Linked DNA regions of Elephas maximus indicus. The protein of the gene in region 1 purifies or fractionates together with the protein of each later gene. This does not show direct contact. Links are inferred from orthologs where the notes say so. Each region holds a gene or a part of one and is shown in the gene's direction. Other genes may lie near its edges. The genes, in order: IFT88 and IFT25.

Region 1 (10,517 bases):
GTAGATGTTAAAAGAAAGTCACCAAGACATATTAAAATCAAACTTGCCAAAACCAAAGATAAAGAGAGAATTATAAGAGCCGTGAGGGATAAAAGAAAATTCACCTACAAAGGAGAGCCAATAAGAAGAAGCTCGGACTACTCAGCAGAAACCATGGAGGCAAGAAGGCAATGGGATGACATATTTAAAAAATTGAAGGAAAAAAATTGCCTGCCAAGAATCATATATCCAGCAAAACTGTCTCTTAAATATGAAGGTGAAATTAAGACATTTCCAGATAAACACAAGTTGAGGGAATTCGTAAAAAACAAACCAAAACTACAAGAAATACTGAAGGGAGTTCTTTGGTTAGAAAATCAATAATATCAGGTATCAACCCAAGACTAGAACAATGGGCAGAGCAACTAGAAGTCAACCTCGACAGGGAAATCCAAAAAAACAAAGCAAGATTATAAAAAAAAAGCCCAAAACAGGGTGACAGTGACGTTATTATATAAAAGAACATGACATTAAAATAATAAAAGAGGGACCAAGAAATGTAATCCTACACCTTCCATATGGAGAGGAAGACACAGGATACAAAGAAATAAAAGTTAGTTTTAAGTTTAGAAAAATAGGGGTAAATAATAAGGTAACCACAGAGGAGACAAACTATCCTACTCATCAAAATAAAATACAAGCAAAAAAACAGACACAGCAGAAACAAAATCGACAACAACAAATATAAGGAAAGGACAATATATAAAGAAAATCTACTCAGCACATAAAATCAAGTGGCAAAAAGAAACTGTCAAAGCACAAAAAAAGACATGAAAATGATAGCACTAAATTCATACCTATCCATAATTACCCTGAATGTAAATGGACTAAATGCACCAATAAAGAGACAGAAAGTGGCATAATGGATTAAAAAACAAGATCCGTCTACATGCTGCTTACAAGAGACACACCTTAGAGACATAAACAAACTAAAACTCAAAGGATGGAAAAAATATATCAAGAAACAACAATCAAAAAAGAGCAGGAGTGGCAATATTAATTTCTGACAAAATAGACTTTAAAGTTAAATTCATCAGAAACGATAAGAAAGAATGTTATATAATGATTAAAGGGACAATACACCAAGAAGACATAACCATATTAAATATTTATGCACCCAGTGACAGGGCTGCAAGATACATAATACAAACTCTATCAGCATTGAAAAGTGAGACAGACAGCTCCACAATAATAGTAGGAGACTTCAACGCCCCACTTTCGGTGAAGGACAGGACATCCAGAAAGAAGCTCAATAGATCTAAATGCCACAATCAACCAACTTGACCTCGTAGACATATACAGAACACTCCACCCAACAGCAACCAAGTATACTTTCTTTTCTAGTGCACGTGGAACATTCTCTAGAATAGACCACATATTAGGTCATAAAGCTAGCCTTAGCAGAATCCAAAACACTGAAATATTACAAAGCATCTTCTCTGACCATAAGGCCATAAAATTGGGAATCAATAACAGAAAAAGCAGGGAAAAGAAATCAAATACTTGGAAACTGAACAATATCCTGCTCACAAAAGACTGGATTATAGAAGACATTAAGGATGGATAAAGAAATTCAGAGAATCCAATGAGAATGAAAATACTTCCTATCAGAACCTTTGGGACACAGTAAAAGTGATGCTCAGATGCCAATTTATTTCAATAAATGCACACATCAAAAAAGAAAAAGGGGCCAAAATCAAAGAATTATCCCTACAACTTGAACAAATAGAAAGAGAGCAACAAAAGAAACCCACAGGCACCAGAAGAAAACAAATAATAAAAATTAGAGCTGAACTAAATGAAATAGAAAACAGAAAAACAATGGAAAGAATTAACAAGACCAAAAGTTGTTTTTTTGAAAAAAATCAACAAAATTGATAAACCACTGGACAAACTGACAAAAGAAAAACAGGAGAGGAAGCAAATAACCCGAATACGAAATAAGATGGGCGATATTACAACAGACCCAACTGAAATTAAAAGAATCATATAAGGTTACTATGAAAAACTAGACTCAGACAAATTTGAAAACCTAGAGGAAATGGATGAATTCCTAGGAACACACTACCTAAACTAACAGAAACAGAGGTAGAACAACTAAATAGACCCGTAACGAAATAAGGAATTGAAAAGGTAATCAAAAAACTCCCCCCAAAAAAGCTCTGTTCCAGACGGCTTCTCTGCAGAGTTCTACCAATCTTTCAGAGAAGAGTTAACAGCACTACTACTAAAGGTATTTCAGAGCATAGAAAAGGATGGAATACTCCGAAACTCATTCTATGAAGCCACCATATCCCTGATACCAAAAGTAGGTAAAGACACCACAAGAAAAGAAAATTATACACCTATATCCCTCATGAACGTAGATGCAAAAATCCTCGACAAAAATCTAGCCAGTAGAATTCAACAACATATCAAAAAAATAATTCACCATGACCAAGTGGGATTCATACCAGGTATGCAAGGATGGTTCAACATTACAAAAACAATGAATGTAATCCACCACATAAGTAAAACAAAAGACAAAAATCACATGATTTTATCAAATGATGCAGAAAAGGCATTTCACAAAATTCAACGCTCATTCATGGTAAAAACTATCAGCAAAATAGGAATAGAAGGAAAATTCCTCAACATAATAAAGGGCAATTATACAAAGCCAACAGCCAACATCACCCTAAATGGAGAGAGCCTGAAAACATTCCCACTGAGATCAGGAACCAGACAAGGATACCCTTTATTACCACTCTTATTCAACAATGTGCTGGAAGTCCTAGCTAGAGCAATTAGGCTAGAAAAAGAAATAAAGAGCATCCAGATTGGCAAGGAAGACGTAAAAGTATCTCTATTTGTAGATGACATGATCTTATACACAGAAAACCCTAAGGAATCCTCCAGAAAACTACTAAAACCAATAGAAGAGTTCAGTGGAGTATCAGGATACAAGATAAACATACAAAAATCAGTTGGATTCCTCTACACCAACAAAAAGAACATCAAAGAGGAAATCACCAAATCAATGCCATTTAAGGTAACCCCCAAGAAGATAAAATACTTAGGAATAAATCTTACCGGAGATGTAAAAGACTTTTACAAAGAAAACTACAGTACACTTCCGCAAGAAACCAAAAGAGACTTACATAAGTGGAAGAACATACCTTGCTTGTGGATAGGAAGACTTAACATTGTAAAAATATCTATTCTACCAAAAGCAATCTATACATTTAATGCAATTCTGATCCAAATCCCAACCACATTCTTTAATGAGATGGAGAAACAAATCACCAGCTTCATATGGAAGGGAAAGAGGCCCCGGATGAATAAGGCATTACTGAAAAAGAAGAACAAAGTGGGAGGCCTTACTCTACCTGATTTTAGAACCTATTGTACCACCACAGTAGTCAAAACAGCCTGGTACTGGTACAACAACAGATACATAGACCAATGGAACAGAATTGAGAACCCAGACATAAATCCATCCACATATGAGCAGTTAATATTTGCCCAAGGCTTCAAAACAGTTAAACGGGGAAAAGACAGTCTTTTTTAACGAATAGTGCCAGGATAACTGGATATCCATCTGCAAAAAAATGAAACAAGACCCATACCTCACTTCATGCACAAAGATGAGCTCAAAAGGGATCAAAGACCTAAATATAAAATCTAAAACGATAAAGATCATGGAAGAAAAAATAGGGACAGCATTAAGAGCCCTAATACATGGCCTAAACGGTCTACAAAACAGTATAAAGAATGTAGAAGAAAAACTAGATAACTGGGAGCTCCTAAAAATCAAACACCTATGCTCATCCAAAGACTTCACCAAAAGAGTAAAAAGACTACCTACAGACTGGGAAAAATTTTTAGCTATGACATTTCTGATCAGCGCCTGATCTCTAAAATCTACTTGATACTGCAAAAACTCAACTGCAAAGAGACACATAACCTGATTAAAAAATGGGCAAAAGATATGAATAGACACTTCACTAAAGAAGATATTCAGGTAGTTAACAGATATATGAGGAAATGTTCACGATCATTAGCCATTAGAGGAATGCAGATCAAAACTATAACGAGATTTTATCTCACTCCAACAAGGCTGGCATTAATCCAAAAAACACAAAATAATAAATGTTGGAGAGGATGTGGAGAGATTGGAACACTTCTACACCGCTGGTGGGAATGTCAAATGGTACAACCACTTTGGAAATCGATTTGGCGCTTCCTTAAAAAGCCAGAAATAGAACTACCATACAATCCAGCAATCCCAGTCCTTGTAATATATCTTAGAGAAATAAGAGCCTTTACACGAACGGATATATGCACACCCATGTTTATTGCAGCACTGTTTACAATAGGAAAAAGATGGAAGCAACCAAGGTGCCTATCAATGGATGAATGGATAAATAAATTATGGTATATTCACACAATGGAATACTACACATCGATAAAGAAGAGTGAGGAATCTGTGAAACATTTCATACCATGGAGGAACCTGGAAGGGATTATGCTGAGTGAAATCAGTTGGTTGCAAAAGGACAAATTTGGATAAGGCCACTACTATAAGAACTTGAGAAATAGTTTTAACTGAGAAGAAAACATTCTTTTGTGGTTACGAGAGGGGGGAGGGGGAAGGAGAGAGGGGCATTCGCTAATTAGTAGATAAGAACTACTTTAGAAGAAGGGACAGACAGCACGCAATACAGGGGAGGTCAGCACAATTGGACTAAACCAAAAGCAAAGAAGTTTCCTGAATAAACTGAATGCTTCGAAAGCCAGCGTAGAAGGGGCAGGGGTCTGGTGACCATGGTTTCAGGGGACATCTAAGTCAACTGGCCTAATAAAATCTATTAAAACATTCTGCATCCCACTTTGAAGAGTGGTGTCCGGTTTTAAACGCTAGGAAGCAGCCATCTAAGATGCATCAATAGGTCTCAACCCAGCTGGATCAAAGGAGAATGAAGAACACCAAGGACACAAGGCGATTATGTGCCCAAGAGACAGAAAGGGCCACATGAACCAGTGACTACATCATCCTGACACCAGAAGAACTAGTGGTGCCCAGCTACAACCAATGACTGCCCTGACAGGGAACACAATAGAGAACCCCTGAGGGAGCAGGAGAGCAGTGGGATGCAGACCACAAATTCTCATAAAACGACCAGACTTAATGGTCTGACTGAGACTAGAAGGACCCCGGTAGTCATGTTCCCCAGACCTTCTGTTGGCCCAGGACAGGAGCCATTCCTGAAGCCATCTCTGCAGACATGGATTGGACTGGACAATGGATAGGAGAGGGATGCTGGTGAGGAGTGAGCTTCTTGGATCAGGTGGACACTTGAGACTATGTTGGCATCTCCTGCCTGGAGGGGAGATGATAGGGTGGAGGGGGTTAGAAGCTGGCGAAATGGACACGAAAAAGAGACAGTGAAAGGAGAGAGCAGGCTGTCTCATTAGGTAGAGAGTCATTGGGAGTATGTAGCAAGGTATATATGGGTTTTTGTGTGAAAGACTGAGTTGATTTGTAAACTTTCACTTAAAGCACAATAAAAATTAGAAAAAAAAAAAAAGTGCCTGGCAGCCTTCCCAGCTCTCATCTTGCAGGGTGAAGGCCGTTTCTCAAGAGAACAAAGAAGAAGAGAGACGAAGGCTATGGGAGCCAGCAGGGTTTTGCATCCCTTTGGAAGAGACCAGTGCAACTGGCGCAATAAAAAATGATTATAGATTGCTTAGTGCATCATTACAACATTAGTTACGTATGTCAAACTCTGAATCACTCAACTGAATAGAAGAAAACACTTGCAAGGTACTAGGGTCACAGGATCTTAAGGCCCTGTCCAGTGCGGAGAGCATAAAGCATACATTAAGAGCAAGAATGAAAGTGTGCACAGGTGGTATGGGATCACATTGCCCACAGGAGAGAAGAAGAAGAGGCGAGACTTCTCAGACAGGTATCATCTGAGAATAATCTTGTACGGTGACAGTGATTACAGAGTTTCCTAGGCTCCCAAAATTAGTGTGGTGGCTACAGGAGATATTTTACAGACACCCAAGTGTCATCCTTTGGTAATCTGCTTTCTGGCTGGTGTCATCAGGATTTATGAGAGCTTGGTTTCCTTCGCTCCGCCTCTCCACACACAGGCGGCCCGCTCCCTTCTTTTCCCTTTCCACCCCCCGAGCCCCTCGCCCCCTAGAGGGCCGTCCACCGCCCTCCAGGGTCACCAGCCCTGCACCGCTCCCCCGAGCAGCTCGCCGTCCCACGCCCCGCCCCCTCGAGACCGCCTGTCCTGCCCCCACCCCCGCGGGGCGCGCCCGGCACCGCCCCTCCGCGCGGAGGAGTGTGGGAACGGCTTCCCTGGATCCCGCTCTTGGTAACGGCTCCGGGCGCAGCGGTCTGGCCTGAGAAGACGGAGGCGTAGTAGATTCGCACAAAGGCCGCGTCTTCCTTGGGCTTTACGCGTGGTCACCCCCATTCCCCTCAACGTGAGGTAGGAAAAAGGCTGGGTGGGCAGAGAGTACTTCCGAGCGTCCCTTCGCCGGCGCGGGCGAAGATGCTCCGACCCGAGTAGAAGGCCGATTCTGGCTCGCGCCCTTTTGGCAGATTGAGTCTGGAACGCCGACCCCGCTCCCCCCGGATTTTCCGGCGGCTCCGCCTTGTGGTGCAGTTCCTTGGCTGCGCGGGCCCACTAGGCTTTGGAGGCCCCGCCCGCCCCTCGCCCCCGCAGCCCGCCCCTCGCCCCCGCAGCCCGCCCCTCGCCCCCGCAGCCCGCCCCTCGCCCCCGCAGCCCGCCCCTCGCCCCCGCAGCCCGCCCCTCCGGTACCACCGACGCCCATTCGGGGCGGGGCGGGGTGGGGGGGGATGCGGAGGCGGAGGGGGGGAGGCGGGGGAGACGGGGGACAAGCCGTGGGATGTGTGGTTCCGTCACATTTCTGCTTTAGGTGCCTACATTTGTCAACTCTGAAACGCCAGTGTTGATTTCCAAACGTTTGTTTCCAGTGGTCACGAGTTTTTATTACTCTTTTAACAGGGGCAGGCAGTTTTAATCTGCCGAGATGACTATTCCAAGTCACATAGTTAACAAATTCAAAAAAATCTAACCATTTGACCACCACTTGAATTTTGCGTTGAACAGGACTCTTTAGTTTTTGTGTTGTACTGTAAAGCTTTTGAATTTGCTCGTGAAAGGTTTAGTCAGGAGTGAAATGTAAAATTACCTAACAACGCATAAAGTGTGTACATCTCGCAAAGATAAAATATTACGAAGATTCGAAGCACTTTTTTCCCCAGACCTAGAATTCCATTTTTTCATTTACAAAGCTAATTTTCTGGTTGTGGGCTACACTAGGCATCTTAGAAATAGACTGTCCATCGTAGTCATAAAAAAAGAAATCAACACTTAAAAAAGGTTTTACAAGCAATGAGGTGGCATCATCTCCAGATTATCTTAACATAAAAGCCTGTTGTGTGTTGAAAGTGCTTTTGAAATAGCTTGGACAATCCAGGACCACTTGAATTGTAGTATTTGTTCTGTCACTCATAGCTGTGAACCCGTTGTTGTGAAGTCAATTCTGACTCAATAGCAACCCTATAGGACAAAGTAAAGCTGCCCCATAGGGTTTCTAAGGAGCTCCTGGTGGATACGAACTGCCGACTTTTTGGTTATCAGCCGAACTCTTAACCACTACGGCACCAGGGTTTCCCTCATAGCTGTTAGCCATGGGTAATTCACTTCACCTTTCATGGCCTTTGTTTCCACAAATTTAAAATAAGCACGTTCAATAAGATGTCTCTTCAACTAAAGACTCTTCCAAGTCTAAATTTTTTTCAGTTGGTTCTCTAGTTATAAAAGTTGCACATTTTTATGACTTTGTGTATAAGCTAAGCTGACTTAAATAGGGCTTATATTCGGGAAGATTTTGTTTAGCATAGTACAGTCATTCAGCCTTATCTGCGTGGGATTGGTTCCAGGGCCCCTGCAGTTGGTCAGGTGTTTTATATAAAATGGCATGGCATTTGCGTATAACCTACACACATCCTCCCATATACTTCAGATCATCTCTAGATAACTTACAGTACCTAATGCTGTTGCTAGGTGGAAACTCCAGGGTCTGCTCAGCATGACTTGTCTCAGCCAATAAACGAGACCAGGGCGGGAGAGTAGAAAGGTACCTTTATTTCATTGTGTAAGGAAGGGAATAGTAGGCAGTGCTGATGCCAAGACTGCTTATCGAGGGCTAGGGAGAATGTTACTTTTAAGGGGTTTACAAGTAGCAAGTTCATACAAGTTATGTCAACAACATTCTTAATGATACTATGTAAGCTGAGCGGGGTTTACATATAACTTCATGCATTGTGGGTTGAGAAAATGGTGGATAAATTCCACCTGGTGTGAGGAAGTTACTATGTATGAGGTATTTAATGAGCTGAAAGGTTATCCTGAATGTCAACATTGTGCTTAAACTGGTTTCCCCCAATTACCTCTAGTTTTGGGCAGTAGTTAAGGAGAGGGGAACCAGGATTTAATGTAAAGCTATGGGGCATGCCAAGCAAGCTCCTTGAGGCAGTGGAACTTTCCACAGCCTGGGGACCTCTGTCTTAATACTAATGCTTTGTAAATAGTTCATCACAATTGAAGACTTGCCCTGGAAGTAAGCCTTTCTCTTCTATGAGTATATTCAGCTCTTTTGGGAACACTGATGATGCCTTGGCATCAACTGATGCCAATTCTCCAGTAATCTTTAAGTTCTCGAGGCTGTAGCACTTTACATAGGTAGCCAGCCATGCCTTACTAGCCTTAAACTCCTTCCTCCCACTCAACCCCCTCACATTTAGCCTTTGAGGGATTGCTTTGACCATTTCATTGCTTTTTAGGAGCCATTTTTTCACAGAAACAAAGAGTGCACACAACACAAGTAGAGAATGAATGAGATGCAAGGCAGACAATGCTCAAACAACGGCTGAGGATCTGTGAAATGATGGGAGGTTACAGCAGAGTATGCTTACACATTACTCCATTCCTGTGGATTTAGCATAGCGTTCAGCATGCAGCAAATTCAAGTTTTGGTCTTTTGGAACTTTGTTTTTACCGTTTTTTTCTTTTTTGGATATTTTCAATCCGTGGTTGGTTGAATCCAAGGATGCAGAACCTGCAGGTATGGACGGCTGACTGGTTTTTAGCATGGCTTCCAAACCAGCAGAATCAGCATCACCTTGGAACTTGTTTAGAAATGCACATTGTAAGAGGTGGAGGGGTGGTGATATCCCCCATAGTAGATTTCCTCAGTCAGAAAGGGGGGGCAGCAATCTATTTTAACATGCCCTTAGGAATCTGATACACACTAAAGTTTGAGAACAGCTGGTTGGCATTATCTGACCTAAAGCTTTTGAGTTAAAGTACTTTATCTTCCACTAGTTACTTTTAATACCATTTTGAAGGTATTGTGGGATGAATTGTCTTTTGACAGTTGATTTTATAGTAGTGAATTTTCATCTTCAGAAATTATTGAGAAATTAACTCAAAATGGATTAAAGACCTAAATGTAAGATCTAAAACTATAAAACTCTTAGAAGAAAACCCAAGTGTAAATCTTCTTTGGATTAGGCCATGATTTCTTAGATACAACACCAAAAGCTCAAGTAACCAAAGAAAAAATGGATAAATTGGACATCGTAAATTTTAAAACTTTTGTACTTCAAAGGACACTATCAAAGTGAAAGGACTGCCTTCATAACGGAAAATATTTGTAAATCATGTATCTGATAAAGGTCTGGTATTCAGAATGTATAAAGAATTCTACTGCTCAACAATAAAAGGACATAAGACCCAGCTAAAAAACGAGCAAAGGCTCTCAATAAACATTTCTCCAGAGATCCATCGATACTCGATAAGCATATGAAAAGATGCTCAATATTGTGAGTCATGAAGGCAAATGCAGATTAACACCACAGTAGGATACCACTTTAAACACACTAGGGTGGCTGTAATCAAAGTCAGATAATAACAAGTGTTGACAAGGATGTGGAGAAATTAGAACCCCTATACACTGCTAGTGGGAATGTAAAATTTTACAGCCGTTTTGGAAGACAGTATGGCAGTTTCTCATAAATTTAAGCGTAGTGTTCCCATTTGACCTAGCTGTTCCACTCCTAGGTTTATGTCCAAGAGAAACAAAAATATGTCCACGTAAAAACTTGTACACAAATGTTCACAGGAGCGTTATTCATAATAGCCAAAAAATAGAAACAATCCAGATGTCCATCAGTAGATGGATGAATGGATAAACAAAATGTGGCATAGGTTTAAAATGTAATATTATTTCCATAAAAGGGATAAAGTACTGATACATGCTACAATGTTAATGAATCTTGAAAACATGCTGAGTGAAAACGGCCAGCCATTAAAGACCATGTATTATGTGCTTCCGTTTATATGAGATGTGCAGAATATGCAAATTTATAGAGATATAAAGTAGATTAC
Region 2 (11,357 bases), on another chromosome or scaffold:
TGGCCCACTGTGGAGACCCTGCCTTCTGGATTTACTCAGACCAGAAGTGTGATGGAATCAACAGTTGTGGGGACTGCTCAGATGAACTGAGCCAAGGTAGGGGTCTGGGCATAGGCTGGGCTGTGCAAAGTGGCCAAGCGGTGGCCAGAGGGCAGGGTCTGCCCAGGGAATCTACTCAGTTCCTCCCTGCATCCCTGGAAGAGCCTTCCACCCCTGGTTGAATGCCCCCAGTGGCGAGGCACTACCATTCAAAGTGCTTCCTTCTGGTGTTTTCTTCTTTGGTGGGACTTCCCTTCAAAGGCGTACCAGGAAACTGAGACCCAGAGAGTGGTCACGCAAGGAGTTTATGACCCAACTGGGATTTGAACCTGGATCTCCCTCATTTCTTCTGCACCTCCCAATACCCCTGTGAGGGAAGCAGGACAAGAGTCACTGTCCCCAATTCTTATGTAGGTAAACTGAGGCTCAGAGAAGAGGAGGGACTTAATACAATGAGTGACAGGAAAGGAGCTTAGGTGTAAACCCAAGTGTCCTGACTCCAAGTTCTTTCATGCCTCAGAGTTTTTTTTTTTTTTTTTTTAAATAAGCACATGTCTTAGTTATTTAACCCATTGCCATGGAGTTGATTCCGGCTCAACCACCCTATAGGACAGGGTCGAACTGCCCTTGAACTGTTGACTTTTTGGTTGGCAGCTGAGCTCTTCAGCCACCATGCCACCAGGGCTCTCTTGGTTATCTAGTGCTGCTATAGCAGAAATACCACAAGTGGATTTATCTCTCACAGTCTAGAAGTTGAATTCAGAGCGCCAGCTCCAGGGGAAGTCTTTCGCTCTCTGTTGGTTCTGGGGGAAGGTCCTTATCATCAATCTTCCCCTGGTCTAGGAGCTTCTCAGCACAGGGACCCCAGGTCCAAATGATAGACTCTGCTCCTGGCTCTGCTTTCTTGGCGTTAGGAGGTCCCTTTCCTCTCTGCTCGCTTCCCTCTTCTATATCTCAAAAGAGATTGACTCAAGACACAACCTAATCCTGTAGATTGAGTCCTGCCTCACTGACATCATAGAAGTTAGGATTTACAACACATAGAATAAGCACATCAGATAACAAAATGGTAGACAACCACACAATACTGGGAGTCATGGCTTAGCCAAGTTGACACACATTTTGTCCGGACACAATTCGATCCATAACAGCACACGTGAATATCTGAATCTCGATCATGTGCCTGGCACTTTGCCTGTCTTCTTTTATTTAGTAACAACCTTGAGCAGATGAGGAAACGGCGGCTCAGACAGGGTGAGCAACTTGTCCAAGGTTACATAGCCTGTGAGCTGGGGAGACCAGAATCTTTCTGCTGTAGGGAAATAAGGAACACAGTCAACCCCAACTCAGATGGGGTAGGGTTATAAGGCTCTGTGGTAGGGTCCAGAGCTAGGCAGTGCCCTGGTAAATAGGGCATTCCAGGATACAATGGCCAGCTCCTGTTTCCCCAGTGACCTTGTGCCCGTCCTGTGGTCCCGGGTGGTGGCGCTGCACTCCGACTGTCTTCAGGTATTGCGAATGCATCCCAAGGAGTCTCTGCCAGGACCACGTGCAGCACTGCTCCGACTGGTCTGACGAGTACTCCTGCCCTGGACTCTGAGCAGTCCCCCAGTCCAGAGTGGGAGACGGATGGATGGAATGACATTTAGAAGCCTTCACGTGTGCATCAAATCCTAGAACATGAGGGTAGGAAGGAGCCTTTGAGATCATGCAGTACGATCTGTGTACCTTCTCTGAATAGGAATTGCCTCTCCTGCTTTCAAGTTGTTCGGCCTCTAATTGAATACCTGCAGTGACAGGGAGCTCACTACCATGTTAGGTAGCTCCCAACAAAGATGAGGGCTTCCGTGATTTCCGTGCTTCTACACGGATGAAATCTGCTTTCACTGCTCCAGGAAAGGCTTGCAGGTCATGATTTTGTCACCCCTTGGAGAGCAGACAGGTCTGGGATTCAAATGCCAGCAGAAGTGTTTAGCCCTTGTCATGGATTGAATTGTGTCCCCCCCCAAAATATGTGTCAACTTGGTTAGGCCATGATTCCCAGTATTGTGTGGTTGTCCTCCATTTTGTGACTGTAATTTATGTTGAGAGGATTAGGGTGGGACTGTAACACCACCCTTACTCGGGTCACCTTCCTGAACCAGTATAAAGGGAGTTTCCTGGGGTGTGGCCTGCACCACCTTTTATCTCTCAAGATAAAAGGAAAGGGAAGCAAGCAGAGAGTTGGGGACCTCATATCACCAAGAAAGCAGCACCCGGGGCAGAGCGCATCCTTTGGACCTGGGGTCCCTGCATCTGAGAAGCAACTCGACCAGGGGAAGATTGATGACAAGGACTTTCCTCCAGAGCCAACAGAGAGAGGAAGCCTTCTCCTGGAGCTCACACCCTGAATCTGGACTTGTAACCTACTAGACTGTGAGAGAATAAATTTCTCTTTGTTAAAGCCATCCACTTGTGGTATTTCTGTTATAGCAGCACTAGGTAACTAAGACAGCCCTTTTGGATGGCACCTATGTGAAACGTGTGCCACTTTTTGCCCCTTTAGTACCTAAGGCAGACATTGCTAACCAATCATCCAGGTTGGGCTACAGCCTTAGCACTTTTTCTCAACTCGGTAATCCTAGCAGGCCCTACTTATAGATCATGTGAGATGAATCATGAGACAGGGTAATTGTCACCTGGCCAGTGGGAAGCTATCCCAGGAGGTTCTGAGCTCCTCAGTGCCCCTCTGTCGTCCTTCCCATTCTCCATCCTCCCATCCCCCATCTCCCACCCCCGCTCCTGCCCATCACCAGCTGCCCAGATAAACAAGCCAGGTTTCTGGAAGCAGGATTGTATTTTGGTCCTGGAGCCTGAGTGCACACCTTTCCAGCTTCACAACATTTGGTCTTGGAGTTTCTCAGCACACCTTTCCAGCTTCACAACATTCAGGCAGGCAAGGAGATGGATATCTCCATTGAAAAAAAAATGAACCATGAGAAAACTGAGATGCGGGAGGGGCGGTGACTTGGTCAGGATCACAAGCAAAATCCTTGCTGGAACTGGGACTGAACTATGGAGCCCGAGCCCAGAGCCTCTCCTGCTACCAGAGTGATGACACCTTGGCCAGGGATGGAGTCCATGTGAGATATTAAAAAAAAGGTTCACTTGAAAGTCAGATTGTGGCCCACCCTTATTCTGGAAGAGAGTTGGAATCTGCCAGTGAGAAGGTCGCTGTTGAGGGAGACAGATATACAGGTCCCCCCCGCCCCTGCCACTCCACACACATAATCTGAAATGAAGGAGCCCTGGTAGTGCAATGGTTTAAAACTCAGATGCTAACCAAAAGGTTGGAGGTTTGAACCCACCCAGCCACTACATGGGAGAAAGACCTGGAGATCTGCTCCTATAAAGATTACAGCCTAGGAAAATCTGTGGGGCAGTTCTACTCTGTCACCTGGGGTCACTATGAGTCGAAATCTACTCGGTGGCACACAGCAACAACATCCAAAATTAATAAAATCGGTTACATGTATCAGTCCCTGTGAGCTCTGAACTGCAAATGGGTGTCCGAGAGACTGATGAGCTCTGGCTCATTCACTGCCTCAGTCATTCATTCACTCATCCAGCAGTCTCAGAACCTGCTCTGGGCCAAGTTGTGTGTAAGGTTCTGGGCACCCAGAAGCTTGGGGCCTTGGGGGAGACACCCTCACACCGTGGTGAGACCGGTTGGACAGCAGGAAATGCAGGGCCAAGGGCACCAAGGAGGAGCCTCCAGGAGCCAGGACACAATCACCTTTCTCACCCTGCTGCTCCCTGGGGTGTCCTTGGCTCTGGCCTCTTTTACTGAACTTCTCTTGAACTGTAGCACAAGCAAGAAGCTGCAGGAGCCCTCGGGGCCTCTGTAGTTCTAACGACAGGACTAGAGGAGGCTTCCTTCCCAGAAACAGAGGCATTTGAGTTGGGTTCAAGAGGGCTAGGAGAATTTCCAGAGGTAGAGGCAGGGGAGAAGCACATTCCAAGCTGAGGCCATGCAAACAAATGCACGGAGGTGTGACAGTACTGAACGGCACAGCCAGGGAATGGCCAGCAGCCCAGAGTGGCCAAAGCATGAGGTGGAGGGAAGGGGCCAGAGAGGTGAGCAGGGGCTGGATCTTGAAGGGCATAATGTACCACACTTTATCCTATAAAGGCAGTGGGTATCATCAAGGGGTAATAAACTAGAACTGTCTGGGGCTTCAGTGACAATTTTAATTGCAACAGTCGGAGAAAGAAATGTCAAGGTCTCAGATGAGGTGGGCAGAGAAGAGGGGTGGTTAGGGCTATTTACAGGTAGAAGCCATGGGTCTCAGGGCCTACTGGGGGCAAGGTATGGAGTCTGAGGATGACTAAGGAGTCCAGGATGCCTGGGAAGGGGCTCCTGGACCCCTGTCCTGGCCGATGCTCTCTCCAGTGGGATGCCAGTCTCAAGGGGAAGAGAGGGTCAAATTGGTCCCCGAGGAACAAGAAAAGTTCCAGAGGCTCACTCCAGTACTCTAATGCCAATGGGTTCCTGAATCAAGGAAGCCCTGAGCACTGGTTATAGAGAGAGCGTTGCTGTGGAGAGGCCATGCAAGCTGGGCCAGATGATGAACTTGAGCCTATGTTTGCTCAAACTAAGTCAGCCTGTGGTTCAGGTGTCCAGAAAGCACCCAGTTCTCAGCAGGAGCTGGTGGTGATGTGGTTGGGCCCAGTGGGAGAGAAGTAGTTGGGTCCTCAGTGGTCACCCAGTCCTGGGTTTCTTCTGTGTCCTGCAGCTCTTCTCAGAAAACCCCCCAGAGGCACCAGCACCTCCCCCTCAAAACCAATCCCATCCATGGTCCTCTGGGGGTTAAAAAGTTTCATTTCACAGGATGGAGAAACTGAGGCTAAGACAAACTTGTCTGGGTCAGTAGCAGGGCAAGGACTAAAAGCCGGGTATTTAGGTGCACACAGAGCTCTGATAGTACAGTGGTTAAGAGCTACAGCTGCTACCAAAAGGTTGGCAGTTCAAATCCACCAGCTGCTCCTTGGAAACCCTATGGAGCAGTTCTACTCTGTCCTCTAGGGTCACTAAAAGTTGGAATCGAGTCGACTGCAACAAGTTTTGGTAGGTGCACAGAGTTAGCATTTATTGAACCCTTACTATGTACCAGGCACCAGTAAATAGTAATCTCACAACCGTTTAGTCTTCACAACTGTCTTTATGCTGAGGTTTAGAAGCAGCTTGTTGAAGGGCACATGTCTGCTGTACCAAACTCTGAAGTCTGGACACAGCCACGATAGTTTGCTGTATTCTGTTATGTCTCAGGAGGTCTGGAAGGCTTCATAGTGGAGATGATGCCTGAGCAGGGCCTTGGAGGAGGATTAGGAATAGCCAAGAGGGAAGCAGGGCGAGGGCATTCCAGGCTGAAGAGATGCCCAGGTTCAGCACTGGGTGGGCGCCTGGCAACTGAGGGAGCACAAGGTAGTCCAGCATGATTAGGGGTACGGGGAGAAGCCTTGGGTCTGAGCTGCAGAGAGTGAGCTTGATTTTAGAGGCCCTGTGGTGGTGGCAGAGGTTTTCCGCAGGAGGTACACGTTTGATTCCTCCTTCAGGGGAGGGGCTGTCCTCATCTGAACATCAGGAATAAGGATACATCACCAGACTGCAGTCTCACTGAGCGGAAAAAGTGGGATCCTGAACATGAACGCCATTTGGAAACAGTACAGCTTCACGCACCGGAAAGAGGAGCGGCAAGCACTCTACTGCTGTTAGTTGCCATTGAGTCGATTCCGATGAGTGGTGACCCCACGTGTGCAGGGTAGAGCTGCCCTGTAGGGTTTTCAAGGCTGTGACCTTTCAGAAGCAGATTGCCAGGCCTGCCTTCCAGAGCGCCTCTGGGTAGGTTCCAACAGCCAACCTTTCCGTTAGTAGTTAAGCGCTTAATTGTTTGTGCCACCCGTGGACTCCAAGCACTATTCTAGGGGCTTTAATTAATATTAACAGCCAGAATTTGTTGAGCTGAGCAGTTAGTACTTGGCAGGCACTATTCCAAACCTCTGTATGTCTCATCTCTGGTATCTCATTTTCTCTAATCCTCACGAGCCCTCCAGGAACCTGGTTTGGTTATCTGCACTTTACAAAAGAGGAAACCGAGGCATAGAGAGGTGAAGAGCTTGCTTAAGATCACATAGCTTTTAAGAGCAGAGCCAGAATTTAAATCTTGATAGGCCCAAAGCCAGAGGCGGCCATACCCCCTCCTTGGTGTCTTTTTGGCCAGGTCTCCCTAGGCCAGGCCAGGGGGCAGCAGCCTGTAAACAGAAGGTAGCTGGCGTTGGCAGGAGAACTGTTCTTTTCTTGTTTGTCCGTTTTTCCTTTCAAATAGGAGCAGTTGCCGTAGCAACCTCCCAAACAGCGCTTTGTAAACCAGCACCAGAAAGACACAAGGCCCAAGGTAGCCAGGCAGGGCCCTCCCCCAGCTCACTTCAACAGTGCGGGGGATTTAATGCCACAGCCTGGAGCAAGAGCCCAGGCAGTCAGCGTCAATATTTGCCATCTCCCAGCCTCCTGGCCCCAGCTCCAAGATCAGTACTTTAAGTACAACAAGTTCTTTGCTGTGCAAACACGAAGGGATAGATGAATGGAATTTAAAGTGGCTCAGGCTTTGCCCCAGGGTCTGGGCTGGAAATCTGGTCTGGTTTAACCCTCTACCATCGCTGTTTGCCTGGGACTCTTTCTTCATCCTTAGACTTACAGAACCACAGACATCAGAGCTGGCAAGGATCTCAGAGAGCAGCCAGGTTTTTAACAAAGGAGGACACTGCTTCCCAGGGATGGAAGGGATCAGCCCAAAGCTGCACTGCCTGGTGGGCTGTCGCTGGGATTTTGATACTCCTGGGGCCAACTGAGCAACTCCAGGTCAGGTAGAAGTGGTTTTTTTTTTTTTTTTTTTTTTTAACACTTATTGAGAGATAATTTACATACGATGAAATGCACAGATTTAAGTGTATGGTACAATGAGTTTTTTAGAAAAAGCTTTATTAAGTTATAATTGACATCCAATAAGCTATACTAGATCGGCAGTTCGAATCTACCAGCCACTCCTTGGAAACCCTATGGGGCAGTTCTACTCTGTCCTATAGGGTTGTTATGAGTTGGAATTGACTCGATGGCAACTGGAATGGGAAATACATGTTCAAAGTATACAGTTTAATAAGTTTTGACTATCTCCACAGTGAAGATATGGACAAATCCATCACCCCCAAAACTTGTCTCATGCTCTTTGCAGTAACTCTCTCCCCGCTATCCGCTCCATTCTCAGGCAACTGATTTATCTTCTGTCATTTTTCTGGAATTTTATATAAATGGAATTATATCGTATGTACTTTTTTTTGTCTGGTTTGTTTCACTCATAATAACTATTTTGAGATGTATGCATATGCTAGTGTGTACAATAGTTCATTCCTTTTTATTGCTGAGGAACGTTCCATTGTATAAATATATCACAGTTGGGTTATCCATTGATTTGTTGATGGTTGGGTTCTTTCCAGCTTGGGCTGAAAAACGAAGTTGCCATGAAAATTTGTGTGTGAGTCTTTACGTGGACATACACTTTCATTTATGTTCTATGAATGTCTAGGAGTGGAATGCCTGGATGTGGTAGGCATGTGTTTAACTTCCTGAAACTGCCTTTTTCCAAAGTGGCTGTGTTATTTATGCTCACACCCTCAGGGCAGGAGAGTTGCAGTTGCTCTATATCCTCTCCAGTACTTGGTATGGTTAGTCTTTTTAATTTAAGCCTTTTTTAGCCTAGTAGTAAAGGAGCTCTAGTGGTGCCAATGGTTAAGCACTCAGCCGCTAACTGAAAGGTTAACATTTCGAACCCACGCAGAGGCTCTGTGGCAGTCACTCTGAGTAGGAATCTGCTTGTCGGCACCTACTAACCAGTGTAGTAGTATCTCATCGTGTTTTACTTTGCATTTCCCTAATAACTAAGGATGCTGAGCATCTTTTCATGTGCTTATTTGACATCAGTGTATCTTCCTTGGTGAAACTCTATGCAAATCTTCTTTCTTTATTTTAAATTGGATTGCTTGTTTCTCAATATTGCATTTTGACAGTGCTTTATATACTCTTTTTTTTATATATATACTCATATGAGATTTATAATTTGAAAATAATTTCTCCCAATCTGTGGCTTGTCTTTTCATTCTTTTAAAAGTGTCTTTCAAAGAGCAGACTTTTTTTTTTTTTTATGCAGTCCAATTGATCAATTTTTTCTTTTATGGATCATGCTTTTGGTGTTTTATCTATGAAATCATTGCCTAGCCTAAGTTCATGATAATTTTATTCTATGTTTTCTTCTAGGTTTATAATTTTAGGTTTTATATTTAGGTCTCATAGTAAGCTAGACACTGCCTTCTCTGCCTGTGAGACCCTCACTCATCTCATGGGCCTGTGTCTGTGACCTGAACCCACAAAGGGAGCCCTTGCCAGCCCCATCTCTGGGTGATGCAAACAGTTAAGTGCTCAACTATTAGTCATAGGGTTGGCAGATCAAACCCACCCAGAGGCACCTCGGGTGACAGGCCTGGCAATCTGCTTCTGAAAAGAAAACTCTATGGAGCAGTTCTATTCTGCACGCATGGTGTCGTCATGAGTTGAAATCAACTCGACAGCAACTAACAACAACATACATGAACGAACGATTTTTTTCAAAGGTGTAAAGGCAATTCAGTAGAGAAAGAATTATCTTTTCAACAGTTGGTGCTGGAACAATTGGACTCCATAAATAAAAAAATTAATTTTGATCCATTTCTCATTTAAAAAAAAAAACAACCCATTGCCATCGAGTCGATTCCGACTCATAGCGACCCTACAGGACAGAGTAGAACTGCCTCATAAGAGTTTCCAAGGAGTGTCTAGTGGATTCGAACTGCCAACCTTTTGGTTAACAGCCATAGCACTTAACCACTACGCCACCAGGGTTTACTCCATTTCTCATACCATATACAAAAATTAACTTAAAATGGAGCATAGACCTAAATGTTGTTGTTATTATCTGCTGCGTAGTCGATTCCAACTCCTTGCGACCCTATGTGTGCAGAGTAGAACTGCTTCATAGGGTTTTCAAGGTGGTGACCTTTTGGAAGCAGATCACCAGGCCTGTCTTCCGAGGAGCCTCTGGGTGAGTTTGAACCGCTAACCTTTTGGCTAGTAGTTGAGTGCTTAACTGTTTGCATCATCCAGGGGCTCCTTGTCCATATATGTGTGAATCTATTTGAGGACTCTCTGGTCTGTTCCATTTACTATTTGTCAATCTTGATGCCGATACCACACTGTCTTGGCCACTGTAGCTTTAGAATAAATCTTGAAATCAGGTGTCGTTAGTCCTCCTACTTTGTTCATGTTCCAAGTTGTTTTGCTATTCTAGGTCCTTTGCATTCCCATGTGAATTTTAGAATCAGCTTGCCAATTTCTGTTTCGAAAAGTCACCAGGGAGAATGATGATGCAATATGAAAAATGTAACCTATGTCAATGAATTGTACATGTAGAAATTGCTGAATAGGTGCGTTTTGCTGTATATATTTTCACCAAATATAAAATAAATATTTTTGAAACAAACAAAAATGTCTCCTAGGATTTTGACTGGGATTGCATTGAAACTATAGATCTGGTTGGAAAGAATTGACATCTTAACAACGTTCAGTCTTCTGACCCATGATCACGTTCTCTCTCTCTCTTTACTAGGTTTCACTGTACAGATCTTGCACATCTTTTGTCAGATTTATTCCTAAGCATTTTATCTTTTTTGACAAATGAGGTTGTTTTGCAATTTTAATTCCCAATTGTTTGTTGCTAAAATACAGAAATAAAATTTGCATATATTGATCATGCATCCTACAACTTTATTAAACTCATTATTTCCAGTAGGTCTTTTGTATAATCCATCAGATTTTCTACATGGATAATCCAGTCATCTGTGAATAAATTTAGTTCTAGTTTTTTTGGTCTGGATGCCTTATTTCTTTTTCCTCTCTTATTGTACTGGCCGTGCAAAATGTTGAATAGGAATGGTGAGAACAGACATCCTTGTCTTTATCCTGATCTTAAGGAGAAAGCATTCAGTCTATTACTACTAAGTATGATGCTAGCTGTAGCTTTTATGTTGATGACTTTGATCAGGTTGAGAAAGTTTCCTTCTATTCTAGTATGCTGAAAGTTTGTATCAGGAATGATGTCGAATTTTTTCTGTGTCTATTGTGATGATCATGTTTCATTTTGTTTGCTAATATGGTGAATTCCATTAACTTATTTTGAAATTTTTAACCAATCTTGCATCCCTGGGATAAACCTCACTTGCCCATCCTTTATATATACATATATGTATACAGATATTCAATTTACTAAAATTTTATTAAGAATTTTTGCATCTATATTCATGAGGGATATTGGTCTCTGTTTTTCTTGTCAGGCTTTGGTATCAGGGTAATGCTGGCTTCATAGAATGGGTTGGGAAGTATTCCCACCTTTCTGGTTTTCTGGAATATTTTGTAATAGAACTGGTATTATTTCTTCCTTAAATGATTGGTAGAATTCCCTAGTGAAGCCATCTGGCCTTGAGATTTTCTTTTCGGGAAGATTTTTAACTAAAAATTCAATTTCTTTAATAAATATAGGACTATTCAGATTATCTGTTTGTTCTTGAGTGAGTTTTCGTAGTTTGTCTTTCATGGGATTTGTCCATTTCTTCAAAGTTACTGAATTTATTGCTATAAAGTTATTTGTAATCTTACCTTATTATCTTTTTAACACTTGTAGAATCTGTAATGACATCTCCACTCTCATTCCTGATATTAGTAATTTGTGTCTTCATTCTCTTTTTCCTTATCAGTTTGGCTAAAGATTTATCAAATTTATTGACCTTCACAAAGAATCACCTGTTGGTTTCACTGATTTTCCATATTTTTTTTCTGTTTTCCATTAATATTCATTCTGATATTTATCATTTCCTTTCTTCTGCTTACTCTGGGTTTCATTTGCTCCTCTTTTTATAGTTTCTTAAGGTGAAAGCTGAAGTAATTAAGGACATTCGTCTTTTCTAACATATGCATTTCATGCTATAAATTTCTCTCTAAGCACTGCATTAACAGCATCCCATTAATTTTGATACGTTGTGCTTCCATTTTCATTCAGTTCAAAATTCCTTTTCCTACTGAGTCAAAATTTGTCTCTCTTTAATTAGTCCGAATCCATAAAACATATCTGTTCCCTCTGGCCCAGGAAAGCTCTTCCTCTGGAAACAGTTGACTGTGTCTTCCTGAGACTTTTTAAGCT

The links.
Region 2: the proteins of IFT88 (region 1) and IFT25 purify together in Homo sapiens (affinity purification with mass spectrometry; 3 studies listed by BioGRID and IntAct, with this or other methods). This does not show direct contact. The link is inferred for Elephas maximus indicus from reciprocal best matches to the Homo sapiens genes IFT88 and IFT25.

Annotation. Positions count from the first base shown.
Region 1 is NC_064841.1:50,805,376-50,815,892, forward strand, and holds the start of IFT88 (intraflagellar transport protein 88 homolog), read left to right. Parts: upstream 1-6,356; 5' UTR 6,357-6,527; intron 6,528-10,517. UniProt on the Homo sapiens protein: Positively regulates primary cilium biogenesis. Also involved in autophagy since it is required for trafficking of ATG16L and the expansion of the autophagic compartment.
Region 2 is NC_064821.1:97,420,148-97,431,504, reverse strand, and holds the start of IFT25 (intraflagellar transport protein 25 homolog), read left to right. Parts: upstream 1-6,615; 5' UTR 6,616-6,942; intron 6,943-11,357. UniProt on the Homo sapiens protein: Component of the IFT complex B required for sonic hedgehog/SHH signaling.